Linked DNA regions of Drosophila melanogaster. The gene in region 2 interacts genetically with the main gene of each other region. Each region holds a gene or a part of one and is shown on either strand. Other genes may lie near its edges.

Region 1 (5,112 bases), on a different chromosome or scaffold from region 2:
GGCACGCACTTGGTCGGTCCACTCTGTGCGCCCCGATCTCCTCCAGTCTTTGGTCTCTGCTCGCCGCATTGGCCATCAACACCAATCGCCAAATGGCGTTCGTGTGTGGCAAGTGACACACGAGGCGCTGCAGCACAGCTGGATGCGTTCTCCTCAGCCACTCGCATCTGGATCTCTGGACCAGGTGGATGTGGTGTGCCAACAATGCCTACAAATGGGGACCATCCATCAGTGCTGATGGAGCTGGCATTCCCACATCCCGGAGAGCTAAGATCGGGATAAGCCGTAAAGACATTAAATATAATCTTCACAATGAAAATGGATTTTTTTTATGGTGTCTCCTTTCAGTTGTTGTACACAGGATACACAACGGATAATGCTTAGGATTTACAAGCCATTATAATCAAACCAGGTAAATAGTTTATACATATATATATATGTAAATATGGGTAATGGGTAATCACAACTACTACACACTAATAGATTTAGTTATTATCTAGCGAAATTTCCTTTGAAATAATAAAGCTGATCAATTTGATAATGCATTTATGTTTATTGCTTCTCGTTTAGTTTAGCTTAGTTTCAGATTAGTTTAGCTACGCACTAGACGACGTCGTTCGTTCGTTTACACTTTAAAATTTAGGTTAATCACTAATAGCAGAATGGGTGGTCCTTAGCTCTACAGGTGGTTAGATCCACTCTGGCCGCTGCTATGAGCGGATGCTACCCAAAAGCGGCGTGCTCTCGGCAGCCTTTGAGGTAATCACGGTATGGCGGGAGCCGAAGCCAGTATCAGCCGACGGAGCAGCTGGTGGTCGCGGTGGCCAATGGCTCGTACCAGGACGCTCGTCCTCGGCCTCGTCGATGCGAGACTGGCGCGCTTGGCGCTTCTGCTGGTTCAGCTCGTGCAAATAGAGGGCACTGAGGCACATGTCGGCCACGCCCACATTCAAGGGAGTGCTGCCCACGCGCGGGTCCACACCACAGAGTCCGTAGAGCAGTGTATCCGTCGGACCCTCCAAGCGGCCTTCAGCCCGGCTGAGGCGCAATCGGCGCATGCTGTCCAGCGGGCCGACACTGGCGGACAGATTCTGCTGCAACATCTGGCGGAAGTCGCTGGCTGCGACGGGGAATCCTCCAGATACCGGTCCTAGACCCGGACGCAACGACTGCGAAATCTCCAGTTGCTGGGGCGTCACCTGTGCGGTCAGCACAGAGTTCGCAATGGAACAATAATCCGCTCCCATGGTGCCAAATGAGATGAGGCTGTTGGTCAGCGGGTTCTCCTGCACCATCGACGTCTTGGCCTGGACTAGTTCACCAACGGCGTGCTCTCTAACGCCGCGCAGGAACTGCTTGGCCTCCTTGGGCATCTGCCACTCGGGATTGTTCAGGGTGAAGCGAAGAAGCGACATCTCCGTTTTGCCGCCGGCCAAACTTTGCTGCTGTGGCTCCTGCTGCGGCTGTTGAGCTGTAGCCCGGGTCATCTCCTCCAGTTCGCTGGTTAACTGCCAGTCGGGATTGCCATGCTTGCGAACATCCATCTGGGCAAAGGAGCATACGTTGCCCACTCCTCGCACGGATACGGTGAACGTCCTGAAGAAACGCACCAGCTCTATGGCCTTTGGCCTGAACACAAAGATCAGCACGAAGGGTGTGACGAAGGGACTGAAGATTTCGCTGAGTAGGTAGCCAGCCTTAAACTGAAAGAAGTTGCTAAACTCCTGGCGAACCTTTGTCGTGTGCGCCTGCTGCCGCCACTCGGAGGGCAGGTAGTGAACGTGCGCCAGAATGGCGGTCATTAGCTGCTCTGGGCACCAAACGAGATTCTCATCCGGTATTAGAGTTCTGCAGACCACACCTATGGCGCCGAGCCCTGCAAGGATGGCAAGCAAATGCTCCACCTGGAAGACGTGTTCCTCGTAAATGCCCAATGCAAGGATTAGAAGTAGTAGTCCTCCACTGATAAAGAGTAGGTTTTTGGCTATCACAGCGGCCAGTGGCGAGGAAAAGGAGTTGAGATAGCGGTCCGCGTAGTCATATGCCCGATTCAGCCTGGCATCTAGTTCGTGGTCCAGTTCATTAAAGTGGCGCAGGTAGAGGCGGCCGTAATTGGACCATGTACGCAGGCCAAGGGCACCAGGCTCCTTACGAAGAATGTTCGCATAGGAGAAACTGAAGTAGATAAGTTGCCATACGAAGATCACAGGCGCTAGGACCAAATTTAACAACGCCACCCCCAATATCAGTTTGGAGAGTCGCTGCGCCAGCTCCGTTTGATTGCTTCTTACCGCAAACTCATCACGCAGCTGCCAATTGTTCTGGAAGGGAGATCCAGGGCCGCGAAACAAGATGAAGTCAATGTTGAACAACATACCTCTACTCAGCGAGACCACTTCGCCATACAGCGGTATGTGGAACCTTACAGGCAGCAGTTGCTTGTTCATCAGTGCCACTAGGTAGTTCTTGAAGCGCAGAACTCGGTGATAGATGTCCAATTCCGTAAGCGACTCCTTGTCGATGCACATATGCTGTTCGGCCTGGACGCGACGAATCCGCTGTTGCACCTCGTGCCACGTAAAGTTGTCCAGATCCGAATCCTCGATATGAAGCGCAGAGTTGTAGAATCTCTTTATATCGGCGTACTGGGTAATATGGTACACCATTTTCAGAAGCCTTATGCCCAAATAGATAGCGGCTATGAACACAACCAGGTACGTGACCCAAGTGAAGTTGGCTAAGCACTCGCCTGTGGGGTACATCACATCGGATAAAGTTGTCTTGTTGGGGTTAAGTCCCCCTGGAGGGGTGTCCCCAAAGAGCACGTCAAATCGGACGCAGTGCATCACAAAGGCAAGTAGCCAGACGACGAAACCAAACTCCAGAACCTGTAGCATTTCGTCCACTACAATCACTGTGAATCCGTGCTTCTGCTGGTACTGATACATTCGCGAGAAGAACGAGTCAAGGTCCTCGATGTGGTTCCACCGCGCACGCCCCGTCTCCGGAACCATGTGGATCATGACGCCACTGTTTCGAGGCGTGTCCTCGCCCTCATGCTCGGTGTCGTGCTCATCCAGCGGCTGCTCCAGCCCGTGTTCACCGAGGGGGTCTAAATGCGCAGCAGCTGCGTTCGCTTTTGCGTCTTGTGTTTTGGATGGGCCTTGGCCTGTGGAGGGATGGTGCTCCAGGAACGGACTGGCCGCCTCCTCGGCCAGGGAGCGGTAGTTGATATGTGGGCTAGACATCGCCCAACGTCAAGGTCAACCGTTCTGACTATTTATATCGCTGTATAGTATAAGTTGGAAAATTCTTTGTTGTTTGATTCTGCTGAACCTTCTCAGCAAACAGCTGACTCTCCTAAGAGAAGTGTTGGCCAACGTCAAAATACTGGGTAATGAATAAGTAAGGCGAACCTCTTGCAGCGCCCAATGTGCAGTGTTCACACTGCCAGGGCATCTCTAAATAACACACATTGGAGAATCAAAGGTATCTTATAAAATTAATACTTATAAATAATTAAATTTGCATTTTTCTTGTTATTTGTTTTTATATTCGTTTTTAACTTTTTGAAATACTCGATACTTTTGTTTATGGTACCCGAAGTGTGAACAGCCTAGATATCCATCAACATAAATCTGCACAGAGTTGGCAGTTCTCTCCCGCATTTGTAAACAAACTATTTGTAGCTCTTACTTTATTGCAAATTTAATTTAAAAAAACAAACAGCCAAGATGGGTAAAAGGCAGCATCAAAAGGACAAAATGTAAGTATTTAGCACATCCAGCGAGTTATGGAAATGAAGACTACCCATTGCTTTAACAGGTACCTCACGTACACGGAGTGGAGTGAGCTGTATGGCGGCAAAAAAGTGGAATCCTTGGAGAACGACCATGTCAAGTTCAAGCGGCTGCCATTCGAGCACTGCTGCATTACGATGGCGCCCTACGAGATGCCCTACTGCGATCTACAGGGCAATGTGTTCGAGTACGAGGCCATTCTTAAGTTTCTCAAGACCTTTAAGGTGAACCCCATCACCGGGCAGAAGATGGACTCCAAGTCATTGGTGAAGCTGAACTTCCACAGGAATGCAAACGATGAGTACCACTGCCCCGCCTTGTTCAAGCCCTTCAGCAAGAACTCGCACATCGTGGCGGTGGCCACAACTGGAAATGTATACTGCTGGGAGGCAATCGACCAGCTGAACATTAAGACAAAGAACTGGAAGGATCTGGTGGATGACACGCCATTCCAGCGTAAGGATATCATCACAATACAAGATCCTCAGAAGCTGGAAAAGTACGACATCTCGACCTTCTATCATATTAAGAAGAATCTACGAGTCCTGACGGAAGAAGAGCAGCAAGAGAGAAAGAATCCAGCCAGCGGCCGCATTAAGACCATGAATCTGGAGACCAAGGAGACGCTGGAACAGCTGCAGCAGGACTATCAGCCAGCGGAAGAGGAGGCCTCCACTTCGAAGCGTACAGCTGACAAGTTCAACGCAGCTCACTATTCAACTGGAGCGGTGGCGGCCAGTTTTACGTCTACCGCCATGGTGCCCGTTTCCCAAATAGAGGCGGCTATCATAGATGATGATTTGGTCAAGTACGAGCGGGTAAAAAAGAAGGGCTACGTTCGTTTAAATACGAACCTTGGCCCTCTCAACCTGGAGCTCTTCTGCGATCAAACTCCTCGAGCCTGCGATAACTTCATCAAGCATTGCGCCAATGGTTACTACAATAATGTTATGTTTCACCGGTCCATAAGGAATTTTATTGTAAGTACGATCTCTTTTGAGAGAAACTTTAATTTACTATGGTTTTATCCACAGGTGCAAGGTGGTGATCCCACTGGAAGTGGTTCTGGTGGCGAGTCCATTTGGGGCAAGAAGTTTGAGGACGAGTTTAAGCCGAATCTTACGCACACGGGCCGAGGAGTGCTATCAATGGCCAATTCGGGACCCAACACCAATGGCTCTCAGTTGTAAGTACCACAAAGTGACATTTTTTCAATGCTTTTGCAAGTATACGCTGTTTCGTAGCTTTATCACCTATCGCTCTTGCAAACATCTCGACGGCAAACACACCATCTTTGGAAAGCTTGTCGGAG
Region 2 (4,958 bases):
GGAGCAGCTGCGGGTTAGCGCCGGCGTCCGTCCGCCGCCGTTCATTGCCGTTGATGATGACGTCGTCGATGTCACTTCGTCACATGCCAGATTCTCCCTGGACCGCTTGTTGGGATAGTCCTTCTGATTGGCTGCCGAGGGAAGGAGACGAAGACCAGAAAATACGCATTAATGCGGTGATTTAAAAACTGATTTTAATTGGCGGTTAGCGATTTGCTTAATTTTATAACCCATGATGTCAGCACGGACCGTGTATGGACCGCAGTGCGAAAAACTTGTCGCGCCAGGTTCCCCGTTCAAAAAAACCGCAAAAATATTTCGTTTCGATTGCCGCCTGCCAAAACTGACGTAAGACATTTATTTCGGCTCTAGAGTTTTTTTTTCTTCTTTTTCGCCTGATTACGAGCGAATGCAAAGCCAAAGTTTTCCACATTCGCTCGCAGCTCACAAGTCGCTTATCACAGTGAGCAGGCATAATTAGAGAACGCTTTGTAAGCTAGCCCGATACCAATTTGATAGTATATTATAGTAAAACACAATCCAGATTATTCATTTATAGGTAAGTCTGAACAAAAGCTGTCAATAACAAATAGTTGAAAACTTTTTTAGTACGGCAATCTTGGGTTTTTAATGCTGGTATATTTATGTTCTTAGCATCATTCTGATTTCTTCGAATATTATTAAAATTAATCTTGTAGTAAATATTTGTTTTTAAAAACTTCAAGTACGATTTTCCCCCTACACTAAACTTTAATTTTAAGCCATGTTCCTTGATTGAAGGGTATCATTTCAGCCGTCCGTCAAAAGAAAAAACTTGATAAGATAACCAATGCTACAGTTTGTATTATGTTTTCAAAGTGGTCTTAGGAGTTCGGACTGTGCTGACTTGATCAAATCGACTTTATCAGCCTTGCCAGAAAGTATAGTCTCTTTTATGCTGAAAAGCAAAACAACTTCGAGCAAACTACTGGGGTACAAAATTGCTGTTATCAGCCAAGCGACCTCAAAAGCCAAAAAACAACACAGAAAAAAGCAACAGCCTCAAAAAAAGTACAACCAACTTTTCACCGCGGCAGGAAACGTTGGTTATGTTTTTTTTTTGTCGCTGTTGTTGTTGTTTGCGGCTAGTAAAACAAGTAAAATCGCATGCCAATAGTGCATTGCAAACCTCCAGGGGCGTCTGGGTCTGGAGTGTGTGGGTTTCGAAGGGGGCCTATGGTGTGGGAAACGGGGGGAGTGGTGTGAAGTAGAGTAGAAAATAGGAAAGTGCTAATTAGTATACAGTGGCTTGTTTACTTTTGGAAATGAGCTATGCATCAGCTTTCTGTTCACTATTTTGTCCAACTTTTGGGTTGCGATTCGCCATTATGTTTACTGTTATTAGTAATTCGCTGTTTATTGTCTAAAAAAAACTTGGCAACAAGGTAGTAAATCTTTCACTTTAAGATGATATTAATTTTAAGTGATTTATAAAGCGATTGTAATGCTTCAACTTATATTATATTTAATAAATTTCAACTATTCTGTAAATGTTTTGGAACTTTGACTCAACGAGGGCACCCCTTTTTAGTTTCGCCCCTGGCCCTTGCAACTAACCCTTCCTGCTCTTCCGCTCTTTCTTACCGACTCCCAACTTCAGTTTTGAGTTGTTGCCGCGGCTGTTGCTTTTTCTCCTTCTGCTCCCCTTTTGGCCTCCTCCTTCGCACGCTTCTCCCTTCTTCTGTTGTTGTTGTGCCGATGAATTCGTACTCGAAAGGTCGTTTCAAAGCGGGTTTTTCAGCGTTGCCAGGCCGCTTGAGAAACCTGCTTTGCTTTACATTTTTTCTGTTGTTTTATTTTTTTTATTTGTACTCGTATTTTGTTGGACTGACTGATTTTTTTTTTCATTTATCCAGCCAACAGAAACGAATCGAAACGCTTCTTTTGCTTTTATTTTTGAAAGACACGCGAATTGTGAGTCACGTATGGAGCGAAAAAAAGTAACTGACTCTGAGTCTGATCTCTCTCGAGTTCGTTTCTTTTTGCTTGTTTTTGCTTTTGTAGAAATGAAATGGAGACGCTTACGTGTGCTCCCCCTCTCTTTCGCGCCCCAGCAAAAGTAAACAGCATGCCGAGCGGTAAAAATCAAGAGAGCAAGAGAGAGGGATTAATACGTTCTCCCTGTCCCGCTCTTTTGATTGGTTTGAGTGTAATCTTAAATTGTACGATTTTTCTTATTGCTTATTTCTGTTGATTTGATTCTTTTTTTCGCTTCTTTTTGTACTTACCACCAATGCGATTGTTGTTGTTGGTATTTTGGATTGGCATAAATAACAGAAGACACGGCGCTTCTCGCTTTATCCGCATTTTCATTTCACTTTGTATATGACTCACGCTGTCGCCGTCTCCGTCGCACTCACAGCGTCCGTTGTGGCTGTTGTTGTTGCGTGCTGTTGACGTTGCCGTTGTAGTGTTGTTGCTATTATTGTTGCTGCTGCTCTGCGTTTCTCGATTCACACACATATGCACGCGCTCACACTACACACATACACATGGGGGCCTTTGGTTGTTTTAAAATTGATATATGTATATTTTATTTGTTGCTTTCTGCCCGTATAATAATCTATATTATTTAAGTATGATTTTCGGTAGGAGGGCTTTATTAGATAATCCCCGAGCCACTTGTTGAGCCACTTCCCGTTATAAAGTGTGTTGCAACCAAAAGTCGGGGGCCCAGAAATCGAGTTTTATTTCCACTTGTAGCACGCACACTTATTTTTAATTCATTAATCGAAAAACGCGCGGGTTGTAGATCTCGTTTTTATATTTTATTTTAGTATTAATTGTTTGCTTCCTCTTCTCACGATTCGTGTTAAAATTATTGTATCCAATGATAAATGTTTTTACCAGAAATATTCTAGTTTTAATTTCCTACTGTTTTCGCGCGGAGCTTAGTTATTTTTCGAACTCGTTGTGCAAAGATGTAGACACAACCGTTCGAAGCGGTATTCAAAAGGCGAATGAATGACCGAATGAATGAGCGCAAGACGAATGAACGGGCGCAAAACAAATTTGATAACCGAATTTGATAAAGACGCGATTAGTGTGACCAGAGGCTACTACAGTTAAAAAAGGCTAACAAGCTGAAACTTTACTCTACGCTCACCAAATTCACCAACACTGAAGACTTTGCGGTTGAATTTGAAATTAAAGTATATATAATAGCCACAATTGTTGACAAATGAAGTTAAAATAAGCTATTACATACTTTGACCTATGATCATAATACAATTTTTATTTATTTATTTTTTATTTATTACACGTTAAAGGTTAATTATTTTCGAAACATGCTGACATTTGACTTTGTATAATTGCTTTTGACATGCTGTATATATACTAATTTTCTTTTATCTCGGGCTCAAACCTTTTGTTAGTTTATATTGATGAATTCCATTTATTCATTATAATTTTTATGAATATAGCAATGCTCGTTATAAACCTCTTTAAATTCTTCGTTGTCAAAACATTTTATTTGTCACTACAGAGATGCGCTCATGTCTACCCAAGTGCCTCAGCAAACCAATCCCAACCAAACCCGTCAAACCCCACCTGAATCTCCGCAACCCAGTAACATGGAACAAATGTTTGCTCGCTTCGAAGGAATGGTCGAAAGGATGATGGAGAAGATGTTCTCGCAAATGACGCAGCTTGTTGCTTCCATCCTCAACGCAAAAGTATGCAAAGCCTAAAAATAGTTATTTGGAATGCTAACGGCCTGCAGAGGAGCAGAGCCGAGGTGGAACACCTCCTAAAAACAGATGCCATCGATGTACTACTGGTATCAGAAACCCACTTTTGTCCCAGATCCCATTTTAGCATTAGCGGCTACGATGTCATCCCTGCCAACCATCCATCTGGCAGAGCGCGCGGAGGAGCAGCCATGCTCATCAGGAGTGGCATCCAGTACACGGAGCTACCTGCGTTTCAGGAGGAATGGGCCCAGTGTGCCCTGGCCAGAATCTCCAGCCTACATGGAGACATCACCGTTGGAGCGGTCTACTTCCCACCTAGACACTCGATCACCGAGACTCACCTACAAGATTTTTTTGAGTCCTTTGGACCTCGCTTTATAGCAGCTGGTGACTTCAACGCCAAACACTCCTGGTGGGGGTCCCGCTCCATCAACCCCAAAGGCAGAACGCTCCACAGATTCCTGCAGAGCAGAAGACTGGATTGCCACTCCTCTGGTGAGCCTACCCACTGGCCTTCAAACCCTTCCTTGCTGCCCGACCTCCTGGATTTTGCTATCTCCAAAGGCATAGGGCAAGACAGACTAACTTGCTCCAACTATAACAAGCTGATATCCGACCACAGCGCTATAAAAATGCTTCTCAACATCCCCGTCCTCAAAAAAGAGTTGCCCAGAAGACTCACCGGGAAGCACACTGATGCCTCCAAGTTCACACTCTGGATGCTGTCCTCCCTGCACCCGGATCCTCCACTCTCCACTCCAAGCAACATCGATGCGGCAATCAAAACTCTCACGGATGAGATGTACAATGCTGCTGAGTTTGCCAATCCTCCTCCTTCAACGTCCCCAAGAACTCCCGGTAGAGACCTTCACCTCTGGTCTCCAGAAATTGCGGCCTTCGTAGCGGAAAAAAGGCGCCTCAGGAGAATCTGGTTCTTCTCGCGCAACCCAAGGGACAAGGCAGCACTCAACAGAGCCATCAAGGAACTCAAGGACAAGCTGTGTACCCTACGGCAAGACTCCTTCGACAGATTCCTTGAGGAGCTGGAACCTGGTGACCCGCAACATAATCTGTGGCAAGTCACGCGTCATATCAGGAGGCCTGCAAAGAAGGCGTCGCCGGTGCGCAAAGCGGACGGCTCTTGGTGCCGCTCTGAAGCCGAAAGAGCTGAAGCGTTTGCAGATCACCTCCAGAATGCATTCTCACCATTTGACAGATGCACTGGCG
Region 3 (4,627 bases), on a different chromosome or scaffold from region 2:
CTCACCCTCTCATACTGGTAGAACGATCGACTTGTTCCAGCGCGCCCGTACAGATATGGATAGTAGGCACCGTACATAACTTCGGGGCAGGACACTGCCATTGTCGCAGTGGCAAGCGCACTTGCAACTGCAACTGCCACTCACTGCCACACACACACTGGCACTGGCACTGGCACTCACACTGGCTCACTGCTTTTGCGGTTTAGCGATGGATGGTAGTTAAATTGGTATTGTCACTTGAGCGGGGAGGGAATTGTGATGCCAATACGCGTGGTTCCAATTGGATTCGTAATCGTATCGGGGGTTTGAAATTGAATGCTCTCTCTGAAGAGAGGGAGATAGATATATAGATAGAGAGCGCGCGGGGAGGGAAGGGGGCTAAAACTTGGAGTAATTATAAAACCGGCTTTCAAGTCAAGGCGTGTTTTGTTGTTTTTGTTGTATTTTTTCTGCAGCAGTTGTAGTATTTATTTCTTTTGTTGGCTGGCAAAATTCCTGGAATGAAAACTCCGCTCGGCTAATTATATTTACATATTGTAAAACACCATCGCGTTTGTATCAGCAGCTATAATTGCTTTTTGTCTGTTTTTTGTTTACGTTTTTTGTTGTTTTTCGCAAACTTCTTTCTATGCATTTGCCATTCCCGTTCGTGGGTAATTTCCTTTTCTTTTCGACTCAGTTTCCTCCCCTCGTCGCTCTTCGACTTTCTTCACTTGCTTCTTTCTTCTTTGTTTGCTTGTGCAGGCAATTGCAATTATCATTTCCACATTGTTGATTGCTGTTAGTCGTTGTTTTCTATTTTTTCAGTTTTTTTTTCCCTTTGGCGTTGGAACGTCAATTTCGTTTCTCATCCGCGTTTCCGACGAAGAATTGCCAACTGGAAGGAAAATGGAGAAAAGTGCAGGAGAAGGCATTAACAATTTGCTAATTGTGGTAAGAAATTCAAAGCTGATGAGCCAATTTCTGGCATTTATGTTAAAACCGACTTTAATGATGTGACTATTTGAACCGTAAATGTCTGTTGAAAAGCAATTGCATGTAAACAAAGCATCATCAAGTTTCAAAATGGCTATAGAAAACCACAAACGAATGCTTTCACAGCTAAAGTAATTATGATCAAAATAAAAACCAATAAACTGGCACATAAACGGTTTTATAGACGAAGTGAATTAAAACTTGTTAAAGATATCCGTCGGAAAATAAGGAATTACTTTAAAAGTCTTTGAAGTTAATTCTTTAATTCTTGGCTTTAGCTTTTAGAAATATCTTGAATTAGGTCGCAAATTAATATGCTAAGCTTTTTTGTAGAATGGAAATAAATAATCGTTGCAACTATTGATTGATACAATAACAGCAGCAGCGAATGCCAAACGTTGAACAAACTATTGCATTGAACACAGTAAAAGCTATTGAAATGAAAATATAGCTAAGGTCCGACGGCAATAGGAATCATTTTTAAATAAACCTCCGTCGGGACATGAAAACACAAAATTTACATTTTAAAAGCTATCTGTCACAAAAAATATTCGTAATTTAATGAATAATCCTATAAATTATATCTGTGCTTCTACTACTGCTATTACATATTATCCCAATTTAATTGGAAAATAACTATAGCTCCATAATGTTCCCGTTACAAAAAACTTAAGCTATTTAACAACCTTTTTTTAATCCTTAACTGTTCAGAGCTTTTCACGTTGTACCTTTTTACAATTCAATTAAAAAGTATAGGAACAATATAACCAATTAAGTGGAATTAATAAATTAACCTTATGATGTAAGGTACAAACATCAATTTCAGACGTTTAGCCTAATATGCATAATAAAATTAAATGCAAATCGATAAATTAGGCAAATTATGATAATTATAATGACACCAGAAGGAAAACGACTGCGGTCCAATTTGACATTTCATTTATCGAACCCGCACTTACCACTTGAATGTTTTTAGTGTAATCCAATAAGATGTTCAGTGTTGCTTGCGTAAATCAACTCAATTCTCGTTACAGTGCACTTTTTGCAAAATATTCAACAATTTCACATCTCTTGACAAGGTAAAACTTGACTTAATTTTCGTTTGATCGTTTTGTTGTTGTTGTTAATTTGAATAGTAATTAAAGTGATACGCGCTGGGGAATTCGCACGTGAATTCTTGAGATTTTGGCGCAGCGGCTTCTGCGATTATTTTTAACCGAAAACGAGCAGCAAACATTTGGTCGGCGCACTCAATGAAAATATTTTCGCTAAATCCACAAAATGCCGAATTCCATAAATTCTTGGCGGCCCGATTGTGCGAGAGCGAGTGAGAGAGAGGGCGATAGCCAGCGAGCGAAAATGAGATGGAGAACGGCACTATTTTGGCAATTGCAGCATCCGCGGAAATCTCTATTTCTATAATTATTATTCTGCTTTGCGATGTGGCACTTGGAAAACAAATGAACTGCACTTGCCGCGATCACTCACTAGGATTTTGGTTTTGTTTCGTTTTAATTTTACGATATTCTCGTTTACGCTGAAATCGAAAATCCGAAATCGAAAATCCCGCGCGGCGGTGAGAGAAAAACACGGAGAGCTCCGGCTGCCGCTCAATCGGAAGAGAAAAAACAAACTGGCAAAAGGAGCGGTAAATCCAATGCATTTGCGGGCAGCGCGACGGCAGCGCAGTCGCCGCGGCATTGAAAACAAAATGGCAATTTCTTGTATCGGGCCATCTCTCTCGCACGGCAGTCATTGGACCGCGGTGGGAGCGGGACAACTAGTGTGCTGCAGTTGCCAAGCACCGCCCACTTGATTGCTGCCGCATTCAGCGTTGTATTGTTGTTTCCAGGTTTCCAACTAACGATGCCACATCGGTGTGAAAATAAAATGGAGTGCGTCTCAATTGTGTCCTCAAGTAGACGAAACTCCTGCTGTTTCTCTCTGATTTTAAAGTTCGACAAACAGATTGAAAGGAATTCGCATTCATCCGGGGCCTTCTACTTCGTCCTTTTGTTCCTTTCCTTGCCTTTCCGCAATGAAAAGTATGCGCCAACTGTGTCAACAGTGTTTGCAGTGCCCCCGCAATCCTTGTTTTCCAGTCCCCTTCCAAGCCCCAAGCCCTCCTCAACCGCGAAGTTTCCGTATTGATAATAATCTGATTGCAAATGAATACAATTTATTGTGCTGTTCATTCGCCTTCATTTCGCCGCGGATTGTTGACAAGGTGTGGATGCTTATAAGTGAAAGACGGTCTACTACACCTTTAATTGTTAGATTTCTGATAGGAACGTGTAAAAAAAGCTGAAAAATCTGTGGATAATATAAAAATGGAATACATCAAGTCGGCATGGAAAATAGCCCTACTACAGAGCATATAGGATCTAAACTTATGTTTTCATTTACAAATTCCAGGAAAGTCGGAACACAAAGTTTGGTTTTAGTGACAGCTAATATGATTTGATTACTGGTTATACCGATTTGGCTAAATATCGAAATTTGTTTTAATACGCAGAAAGTTGTTTAAGCAATGTTGCATAAAATGTTGTGGGAAACTTCTATAACTACGGAGAAAGCTAGAAAAAAAACCATGTTTATGTGGGAGTTTAACCTGAGAAAGAAGTTTCCAGATAAAGAAGACATGGCCGACGGGACTTCGAGCGGTGATTATTTAAGGGATTCTCAAAGTAGTTAAGGTAGTCAGTCTTATAGATGGTCACCAAGAAAACTATAATGGTTATTACACAGCCTGCATCAAAAACTAAATTTCTAAATTCTAATGCCAGATAATAATAATATCTTTTATTTATTTTGAAAATGATGAGAATATTAATCTCTTATACTACAATCCAATTAGACAAATCAAAAGTAGTGAACTGTTTTTACTTAAGGCTTTTAATAAAATTGGTCTGGTTTCAACCTTTTGAATAAAACATTAAGAAAACTCTTTGACCAGGTGCATATTGATAAGCTATGAGAACAAATGTGGCCTTTCTACAGACCCTAAAAGTATGCAACAAAAATATAATATTCTAGCTACACGTTAGCTTATATATTTTACCCACTTAAAAATAACCAACCAAAATATTAAAAGCAATTATTAAAGTACAAAACATACGCGCAAGTATTTATTTCTTACGAGTTTCCAAATAAATTTGACTCTAGGCAGTCTTCCCGTACATTTTTCTCGTTGTTTAACAACTTTGCAGCATGTTAGTCTTGAGAAGAAGGATAAAACACTCACGATTGGGTTTGGCGTAAAAATAAAAAGAACTGAATGCTTGGAAAGTCACAGGGAAAGTAAAACAATTGTTTCATCGAATTGTATTCAAATCTAAAGAGTACGTTGTTTGAGTCTATCGTGCTTAAGGCGTTAATCGTTTGGGATCGCGCGGGAACATGGAAGTCTTGCGGATGTTGTCCAATCCCAGATACAGCATCACCACACGCTCCATTCCAATGCCACCACCAGCATGTGGAGGACATCCATAGCGGAAGGACTCGATGTACGCCGCAATCTTGGAGGTATCTAGAAAACAAATATATACGGCGTTAATATTAAGTATTAATAGAGTAGATAAGTTTCAACTTCTTATCTGAAATGGGTTACAGTCTTATATAAGCACTTGAGCTATGCATTTATATTATTCTC
Region 4 (7,907 bases), on a different chromosome or scaffold from region 2:
AAATAAAAAGAACCAACAATTGCGAATGAGTCATATTGCAGTGTAAAAAAGTGTGGAGATATATAAACAATGCATAGAAGTAAAGGAATCTTTGATATTTCCAAACATATAAAAATACTACATTATTATTATTTTATTTTAAATAAACGGCTTAAGATCAAGCCCGCTTTACCCTTGAAACTAAGCTGCACAAATAATGCTACCGCTATGTTGACCTACATGGCCGCTTTCCCATGTGTGTACGTGTGTCAATTGTTTAAACAAAATCTGGTAAACTTCATTTGGCCGTAGTCGTCGTCATCGCTCATCACCTGCGAGCAACAAAAACAAACGAAGCTGACGTCGACAGCGCTTCGTGCGAGCCGAAGTTTGACATTTCCATTTCCACGTAGCGTTTGTTTGTCAGTGGCGAGAGAGTGGTGTGTGTCTGTGTGCGTGTGTGAGTGTTAAATGAGAGTATGGCAACAAGTAGCCAGGTGATAAGAAAACTAGCAGCAGCAGTGAGGTGGAAATACTGAGATTTATGAATGAAAAGGCCCACGAAACATATAAAAACTCAAAAATATGTGCACTTCAAGTGGTGTACGATATAGTAATAAATAAAACTAAAGTTGGGCATAATTATTTTCATGAATTAAATGGACACAAAAGGCGTGTTTTCCTATTTCGACACATAAAAAACTCAGTTTGTTCTATATCAGGGTGGTTCGGCTGCCGTTTGCCCACTACCAAATGAAGAGCAAACTGTTTGCGTGGCGATGTTCACTTTTTTGACAAGTGAAAGCAACCACAAAACGCGTGGGCTGGCAACACTGGCAGAGAGCAAAGCGAGATTCGCTCGGAAAAACACACGTATAAGACGAGAAAAGCCGCAAATTGTTGGGAAAATTCGAACATTACATGGTACAGCAGCAATTGGGATAACTAGCTACACTTTGATTACATCTAATTACGGTTTTATACACACCTTGCGCTCCGGTTTTGCGATTTCCGGCAGTATACTGCAGAACGGTTTGATAACTTCCAGGAACTTGACTGCAAATAGTGAATTAAGGCAACCGAATTAGTTACGTTTCTCAGGCCATTTTTAATTAATTGCGATTTTCGGACACAACGAGCGGCGCACGCCGAATCTTTTTTGTATACGTAAGCAATGAGCGACAAGGGTGCGAGCGGCATTGCAAGGGCGGCACTTCACACAAAAACCGCTGCACTCCCCGATTTTGGGGAAGATGTCTGGCGATGACGGTTACTTACTTCCCATTTTGCCGGACTTGTGTTGCTAGTCTGGGCACTGAGTGGGTGGCTTGGTTATTGCACTTTCTACGCGAACAGTAGAAAGTCTCACTTTTCACTGCACAGCGAACGCCTCAAATTTCAAAAACCGAATGAACGAAGCGAACGAATTGACGACGTCGACGTGTCATTCAGTGTGGCCGTTGGTGAAACGTCAAAATAAACCGTCGTGTCACTTGGCGACGACCGGTCACACTGGCACTGTTAAGCATTAAAATTTGAAGTTGAGCCATGGGAAAATCTATATTTTTGGGCTGTACTGCAAAGCTGCCTAAAGATTATGTTCCGATAATTAAATACATAAACTAGCAAGAAGATCTAACAATTATATTTTTGGTGGAATTCACGTTACCTATCCAGAGGGTTATTTATGGTTTCTTTTTTGTCTAAGATGGGCCAACATATTTAGCTTTTGACATGTACACATTTGGTTTCAGGCATTATAGGGTTAATAAAAAGGAGTTTCGATATTTAGTTGTGTGTCCATCGCTGGCACCGGCTGGCACCTAGCGACCGATACTATCGTGGCAGCCAGCGATGTTTTAGCAGCTCCAAGACTCTCCAATTTGACAATTCTGAGGCATGAGTACAAACAAACACTCACGCAGTGCACTCTGTTGGCGAGCGTAATAAATATGTGGGAAAATTCCCACATATATACAGTATTCAGTGCTAGTGCCGAGAACTCGCAACGAACCCGGTCGCGTCGTTCACATATGTGTGAAAAAGTAGCTGACAACAACGGTGGCAAGTCCAAATGCGAAGAAAAGCCAGTAAATCGCGCGGCGAGTAAAGTGAATAAATTCGGTGCAGACCATTGCCGTTTCGGGGCGAATAATGTCTGCGTCTGTGATATGCGTCGATTTGAGCTCGGAGTCTGATGAGGAGGTAATATCCCGATTTCCCAGCGGACTCGTCAGTGCGTGTGTGTGTGAAAAAGTACAGTTGGTTTTAAATAGGCTCGCTGCATGAGTATGTGTGCGTGTTACACATAGTGTGGAATTAAATTTTTTTCGCGCTGCTTTTTTATTGAGAACGAGCAGACACGAACGTGCAGTGCCCCACTCATACAGTTGCAAAACGGTGACAGTGCTGCCAGACCGAGCGATTGGAGACCTGGCGAGTCTTGCAGTTGCACTGGCGAATATCGGACTTTAATTACGTTAGGCGTGGAAATGAGCGAGTGAGAGGGTGCGGTGAGTCTCCGCTCCTGGAGAGTGTTTGGTTAAGACGCAATTCGCCTGGTAAAGTTTGGAAAGTCGTCTCCGCTGATACGGCACTAAATCAAATTAACTCTCCAAAGCGCGCGCACGCAACTCTCCAAAGCTCTCGCACACACCGACGAACGCACACCTATACACTGACGCTTTTCGTTTGTTTATATTTTCATTCAAATTTAAAATACATCTGAGAGCGACCAACAGGTCGCCTGCAGTTTGGAACTATTATAAATGTTGCTAATTATAAAACGCGCTTCAAAGACGATGCACTTGTGATAAAAACAACAAACATTATGTATACTTATAAGTAAACTTTGGTCTTATTGTCAGAGGCAGTGTAGTCTCATCTTATTACCAATTGAACATAACTTGTAATATAAGTTTCAAATTATATTTGCAGTCGCCGGCCAAACGACGACGACTCGAGGATCCGCTGCGACTACTAACGCCATCCGGTAGGCAAAGTTTTCCTGCCAAACTTCTGAACATACCAAAGGCCTCCCTGGGATCCGCGATGGTAGTGCCTGTTGCGGAAACAGGACCTGCAAGGGAGACTCCGGTCATAGTGGATCCACTCCGGTCCATGCACATCCCCAGTGGAATCACCATCACTAAGCACCAGAAGAACGTCCTCGCCACAAACGGAAACATGAACCTTTCTCTGGCAGAGAGCAACAACAACAACAACACTACCAGCTTGAACAAAAATGTGACCCCGAAGCAGATCAATGTTGGCACCGGCCAGAAAGTGGCCTGGTCGGTGAGCAGCAAGGCGCCCAGTCCGAATGCCGTGATAACCACCGTGCCCAGCCACCAGGTGAGGGTGACGCCGTTTAATCCGATTCGACTCGCACCCGGGTCAAAAATAATACCGGCTTCGAATGCGATGCCTGCAAAGATTCAACCCATTCTTGGGATGGGTCAGCCTCAGCAACAGGCACAAGCCCAGCAACCGAAGGCCATCATAGTGGGTTTTCCGAAGCCCAATACTGCAGTGGCTCAAATGGCGCAACACCAAAAACCTCTAACGCTTCAAATACACCAGAAATTAATTGCAGGACAGCAGCAGCATATAGCTTCTATTAGCCAATTGCAGCAGGTATCGTTGCAGCAGCAACAGCCACTTAGACCCGTGAGCATTCAATTGCAGCAGCAACAGAACCAACGGAATGGCTCATTGCCTGGAAAGCAACAGAAGCCACTGGAATGCCCAGTGCCTGCGCAGCAAGAGAAGCTACCACGTGGGCCGTTGCCTACGAAGCCAGCCGAGCCACTGAGTGGCCCATTGCCTACGGAGCCAGACGAGCCACTGGGTGGCCCATTGCCTACGCGGCCAAAACCACCGGTGAGATCACTACAACAGCCAGTTAACAAGAATACGGCGATTGGAGTACAGATACAGCAATCACAGGAGCCACTGGGTGGCACATTACCTACGCGCCAGAAACCACTTGGAGGTCAATTGCTAACGCAGCAAAAACCACCGGTGGGATCGATACAACAGTCTGTTAAACAGAATACGGGGATTGGAGTACAGATTCAGCAAATACCAAAGGTTGTCGTGGGACAACAGCCACAGAAGGTGTACCTGAATAAACTACAACAGGAGCAACAGAAGATTTTTCTGGGGCACCTGCAACAGCAGCAACAGAAGACGTTCCTAGGGCAACTGCAACAGGAACAGCAGAAGATCCTGGGGCAACTACAGCAGCAGAAACAACAACAACAGCAGCAACAGAAAAAGATCCTGGGGCAATCACAACAGCAAAAGGTGCCGTTGGGGCAACCGCAACCTCAGCAGAAACTACCGCAGCAACTGAACAATTCACTGGTGCAACTACAACAGCAACATCAACAAAGAACATCAGTGGGGCAACTCCAACAACAGCAGCCACATCAATCACAGCAGAAAAATTCAATGGTGCACGTAAAACAGCAACCACAACAGCAAAAGAAGATTTCAGTGGGGCAATTCCAGCAGCAACCACAACAGCAACAGAAGACTTCAGTGGCGCAGCTGCAACAGCAACCACAACAGCAACAGAAGATTTCAGTGGGGCAACTTCAACAGCAATCACAGCAGCAACAGAAGCCTTCAGTGGGGCAGCTGCAACAGCAATCACAGCAGCAACAGACGCCTTTAGTGGGGCAGCTGCAACGGCAAACTCAACAGCAACAGAAGACTTCAGCGGGGCAATTCCAACAGCAACCACAACAGCAACAGAAGATTTCAGCGGGGCAACTCCAAGAGCATTCACAACAACAACAGAAGACTTTAGCGGGGCAACTCCAACAGCAAGCACAACAGCAGCTAAATACTTCCGCGGGGCAGCTCCAACAGCAGCAAAAACCACCAAAAGCGTCCTTAGCGCAACAGGCAGCAGCTCAAAAGCAAGGAGCGGGCCTAGGACAACAGCAACAATTTCAATCCCAGCCCCAGCAGAGAACAAGTGCTGGACTTCTTCAACAGCAACAGATGCCACAGAAGAAAATCGTGATGCAACCGCAGCTTCCGAAAACATCGGTGGTCCTGCCGCGCCCACAACAGCTCCCGAAAAATCCTTTGCTGGTGGCCCAACAGCAATCACCAAAGACACCACTGGTAAACTCCGTAATGGGCCCACAGTTTCCATCACAGCAACCATCGCTTCCCGTTGTCAATCAAATTACGCACAAATCGATGACTATTCAGAGACTTCCCATGTTGCAGACGGTGCAAAAAATTCTGCCAAAACAGATAGCTCCGCAGCAGACGCCACCACCCGCTCATATAGTACAAAAGCAAACAATGCCAAACGCGGCCATGCAAAATCCTCCGTTCGCGCACCGTCCACCGATAGTGCGACCCATGACGGTAGCCAAGATCTCGCCGGTGCCTACAAACAACAAAGTCTGCATCCCGATGAAGCCGCAGATGGCTAGTTATGTCAGTCCCACAGACCCAACAATGACTGCAGCCCGTACTTTGCCCTTTAGAAGCTCACAGCGCAAGACATCTGAAGCACCAATGACTTCGACGCATGTCCAGGGATTCACTGCGAGTGCCACACCTCCACAGCGTCTTCTGGCCACTCCACCGCATTGTGCCGCGGCCTTGAATGAGCCGCTATTGCTAAACTTGCCGCCCACCACTAGCATTACGCCGCAACTGACGCCTACGACAACTCCACCGCCCGCTGGACCATCGGCAGCAGTTCAGCAACAGCAGCTGGCCAAGGCGGCAGCCATTAAATTGAATTCCTTGCCCGAAGCGAGCATTTCTCCAGTGAACAGGTCTCCAACTGCAAGCGCCAAGCGCATCCAGCCGATTACCGTGCTCAAGAAATCCGACGAGGAATGGCAAAGGCATCTCGAGCAACAGCAGCAAAAGAAGCACGTACAATTGCAGTCGTCCTCGATGACCACAATTGTTCTAGTCGAATCACCGCCCACTACTCCGCCCACGGATAAGCCGGAGCCGGAGCGCGGGCCAATGACCGTGGAAAAATCGTCGATCAAACCGATGGCAACAGATAAACAATCCAGGGCAATAAAAAGGCCTGCAGTGATGATTTCCACGAAAAAATCCGGTTTAGTTGTCACAGAAATAGTGGATTTAGATGAAATACCGGATATCCCGCCAGAAAAGCGCGGGAAAGAATGTTTTCCTCCAATTAAGAATGCAGCCAAGGCAGCACCATCAGTGAATGCCCCTTTTACAACTGAGTACGCGGCACTTCTTCGTCTTTGCCGCGAGGTGGACAAATCGACTCACATGGAACGCCTTGTAAAGGGAGAATTGACCCAGTATTACTACAGTGCGCCCGAAAGCTTCGTGATGTCATGTGGCTTTCGCAACCTGGTTACAATGGCTATGGCGAGGATCCGAAGCGAATCGTACCTGGTGTACGTGCACCTAAAGTACGTGTTAGATGAGTTAGCATCGCGGAGGCTGACCAAAATGTTTCCCACAGTACGAGCAATTCCGCCAGCTAGCCAGTTCCCACTTCCACCAGCTAGCCAGTTCCCACTTCCACCCACATTGACCACACCCAAGCAGCCAGCGATAGTAAAAGCGCCGGGGCAGCAGACTGTGATGGCGGGAAGAGAGCAGGATGATGAAGTAGAAGAGGTGACATTGGTGAATGTCGGGACCGTTTCTTGCGAAGAAAGGCGTAGGGATGAGCGGATACGCCACTTTTATCGCACGCTGCATGCTATTACTAAGCGAATAAAGATGTTGGAGGAAGCTGAAGTGGACTTGAACGACGAGGACTCCAGTTATCTTCAGTTGGAGCGCTTCAAAAAGCGTGCCTGCCAAATCTATGAAAAAATCTGTGATCTAAAGGGCGAGAGCAAGAGTGTCCGTAGACAGCTAAAGAAGCCCATACACTTCAAGGATTCGGACTATCCACACTTCAATAACTCGCTCTCGGCTTTTGTGAACAGGATGCAAGATTTTCCCGATTACCACGATGTGCTTCAAATACTGGAAAAGTGCAACAAGGAAAAGGAACTTGGACTAGCCAAGTACGAGATGAAGAGAATCGGTACGTCATGGTCTTCAAGTATCAAAATCAATATTGAGCACACATTTTATTGTTTTGCAGCCTACGATGCCTTTAACAAAGTCGGTCGAATGCTGCAATCGCGCCGAAAGAATGATCTTTACGAAACTGTCACACATTACACGGCAAATGGCAAAGATCCAGCGTCCAGTGATCCCGAGCTGCTAGCCAAGCTCAAGGAAAACAACAAAAAGCAAACCAAAATAAGTGATATCTTAGAAAAGTGAGCTCAAATCGAGAATTTCAGAACTGCGCTGTTCAAAAGAGTTTTCACTTGTTATTTATCGGAAATATCTAGAACAGCGCAGTGCTCTGAACTTAAAACAGAGTTCCAATCTAATATTTGGATTATTTATTCTAGGTATGCCCTCGAGCAAGATCTCAATGCGGAGGAGCGTCAGGAGGCGCGGCTTAAGGAGAAAAAGTTGAAGCAGGTTAAAGCGGACGAGGAGGCCGCCAAGCTGGCTGCTTTGGCGGAAGACGACGACAAGCCCTGTACAAGTGCTCAGGCAGCAGCTAAGGCGGCCGCTCTCGCCGCTTTAAAAAGGGGTCCAGCAGCTCGTGGAAATGTGATTCGAAAAAAGCGTGCCGCTAATGGACGGATTTTCAAAATCGCCGATGACGGAGATGACTCGGAGGAGGAATCGGACTCGGAGGACGACGATGTTGAGGAATTTGTCAATAACTTTCAAGCCAACAGTGATGTGAGTGATGCCGACTCCGAAGTGGAAGCAGTAACATCACCAAAGAGAGATGCTTTGCCGCTCGCCGAGGAGGAGGATGTGATAGATATAACGAGAGACGAGACTGGCAAAAAGAATGACGAAGGCACGCCCAACGGCAG

Evidence for each region.
Region 1: of puc (region 2) and Atg9, changing one suppresses a phenotype caused by changing the other (phenotypic suppression), as found in Drosophila melanogaster (one study listed by BioGRID).
Region 3: of puc (region 2) and vg, changing one suppresses a phenotype caused by changing the other (phenotypic suppression), as found in Drosophila melanogaster (one study listed by BioGRID).
Region 4: of puc (region 2) and Daxx, changing one suppresses a phenotype caused by changing the other (phenotypic suppression), as found in Drosophila melanogaster (one study listed by BioGRID).

What each region holds. Positions count from the first base shown.
Region 1 is NT_033778.4:16,292,657-16,297,768, reverse strand, and holds Atg9 (Autophagy-related 9), read right to left. Parts: upstream 3,370-5,112; 5' UTR 3,249-3,369; coding exon 711-3,248; coding exon of another isoform or gene 690-710; 3' UTR 537-689; downstream 1-536. Other genes in the region: CG7747 (uncharacterized protein), read left to right, coding at 3,735-3,766, 3,826-4,780, 4,835-4,986, 5,045-5,112.
Region 2 is NT_033777.3:8,103,405-8,108,362, reverse strand, and holds the start of puc (puckered), read right to left. Parts: upstream 3,032-4,958; 5' UTR 2,503-3,031; coding exon 2,268-2,502; intron 1,876-2,267; exon of another isoform or gene 1,624-1,875; intron 132-1,623; coding exon 1-131.
Region 3 is NT_033778.4:12,882,619-12,887,245, reverse strand, and holds the start of vg (vestigial), read right to left. Parts: upstream 3,046-4,627; 5' UTR 1,935-3,045; intron 878-1,934; 5' UTR 102-877; coding exon 6-101; intron 1-5. Other genes in the region: AspRS (Aspartyl-tRNA synthetase), read right to left, coding at 4,341-4,504. UniProt on the Drosophila melanogaster protein: Involved in determining which thoracic imaginal disk cells will form wings and halteres, perhaps by interacting with other nuclear regulatory proteins.
Region 4 is NT_033779.5:6,479,067-6,486,973, forward strand, and holds the start of Daxx (Daxx-like protein), read left to right. Parts: upstream 1-1,862; 5' UTR 1,863-2,133; coding exon 2,134-2,184; intron 2,185-2,916; coding exon 2,917-7,045; intron 7,046-7,105; coding exon 7,106-7,286; intron 7,287-7,424; coding exon 7,425-7,907. Other genes in the region: Sec61alpha (Sec61 alpha subunit), read right to left, coding at 968-1,035, 1,258-1,264. UniProt on the Drosophila melanogaster protein: Transcription regulator. Acts as a histone chaperone that facilitates deposition of histone H3.3. Has a role in chromatin remodeling together with asf1 and XNP. Has role in the transcriptional apoptotic response to oxidative and UV stress.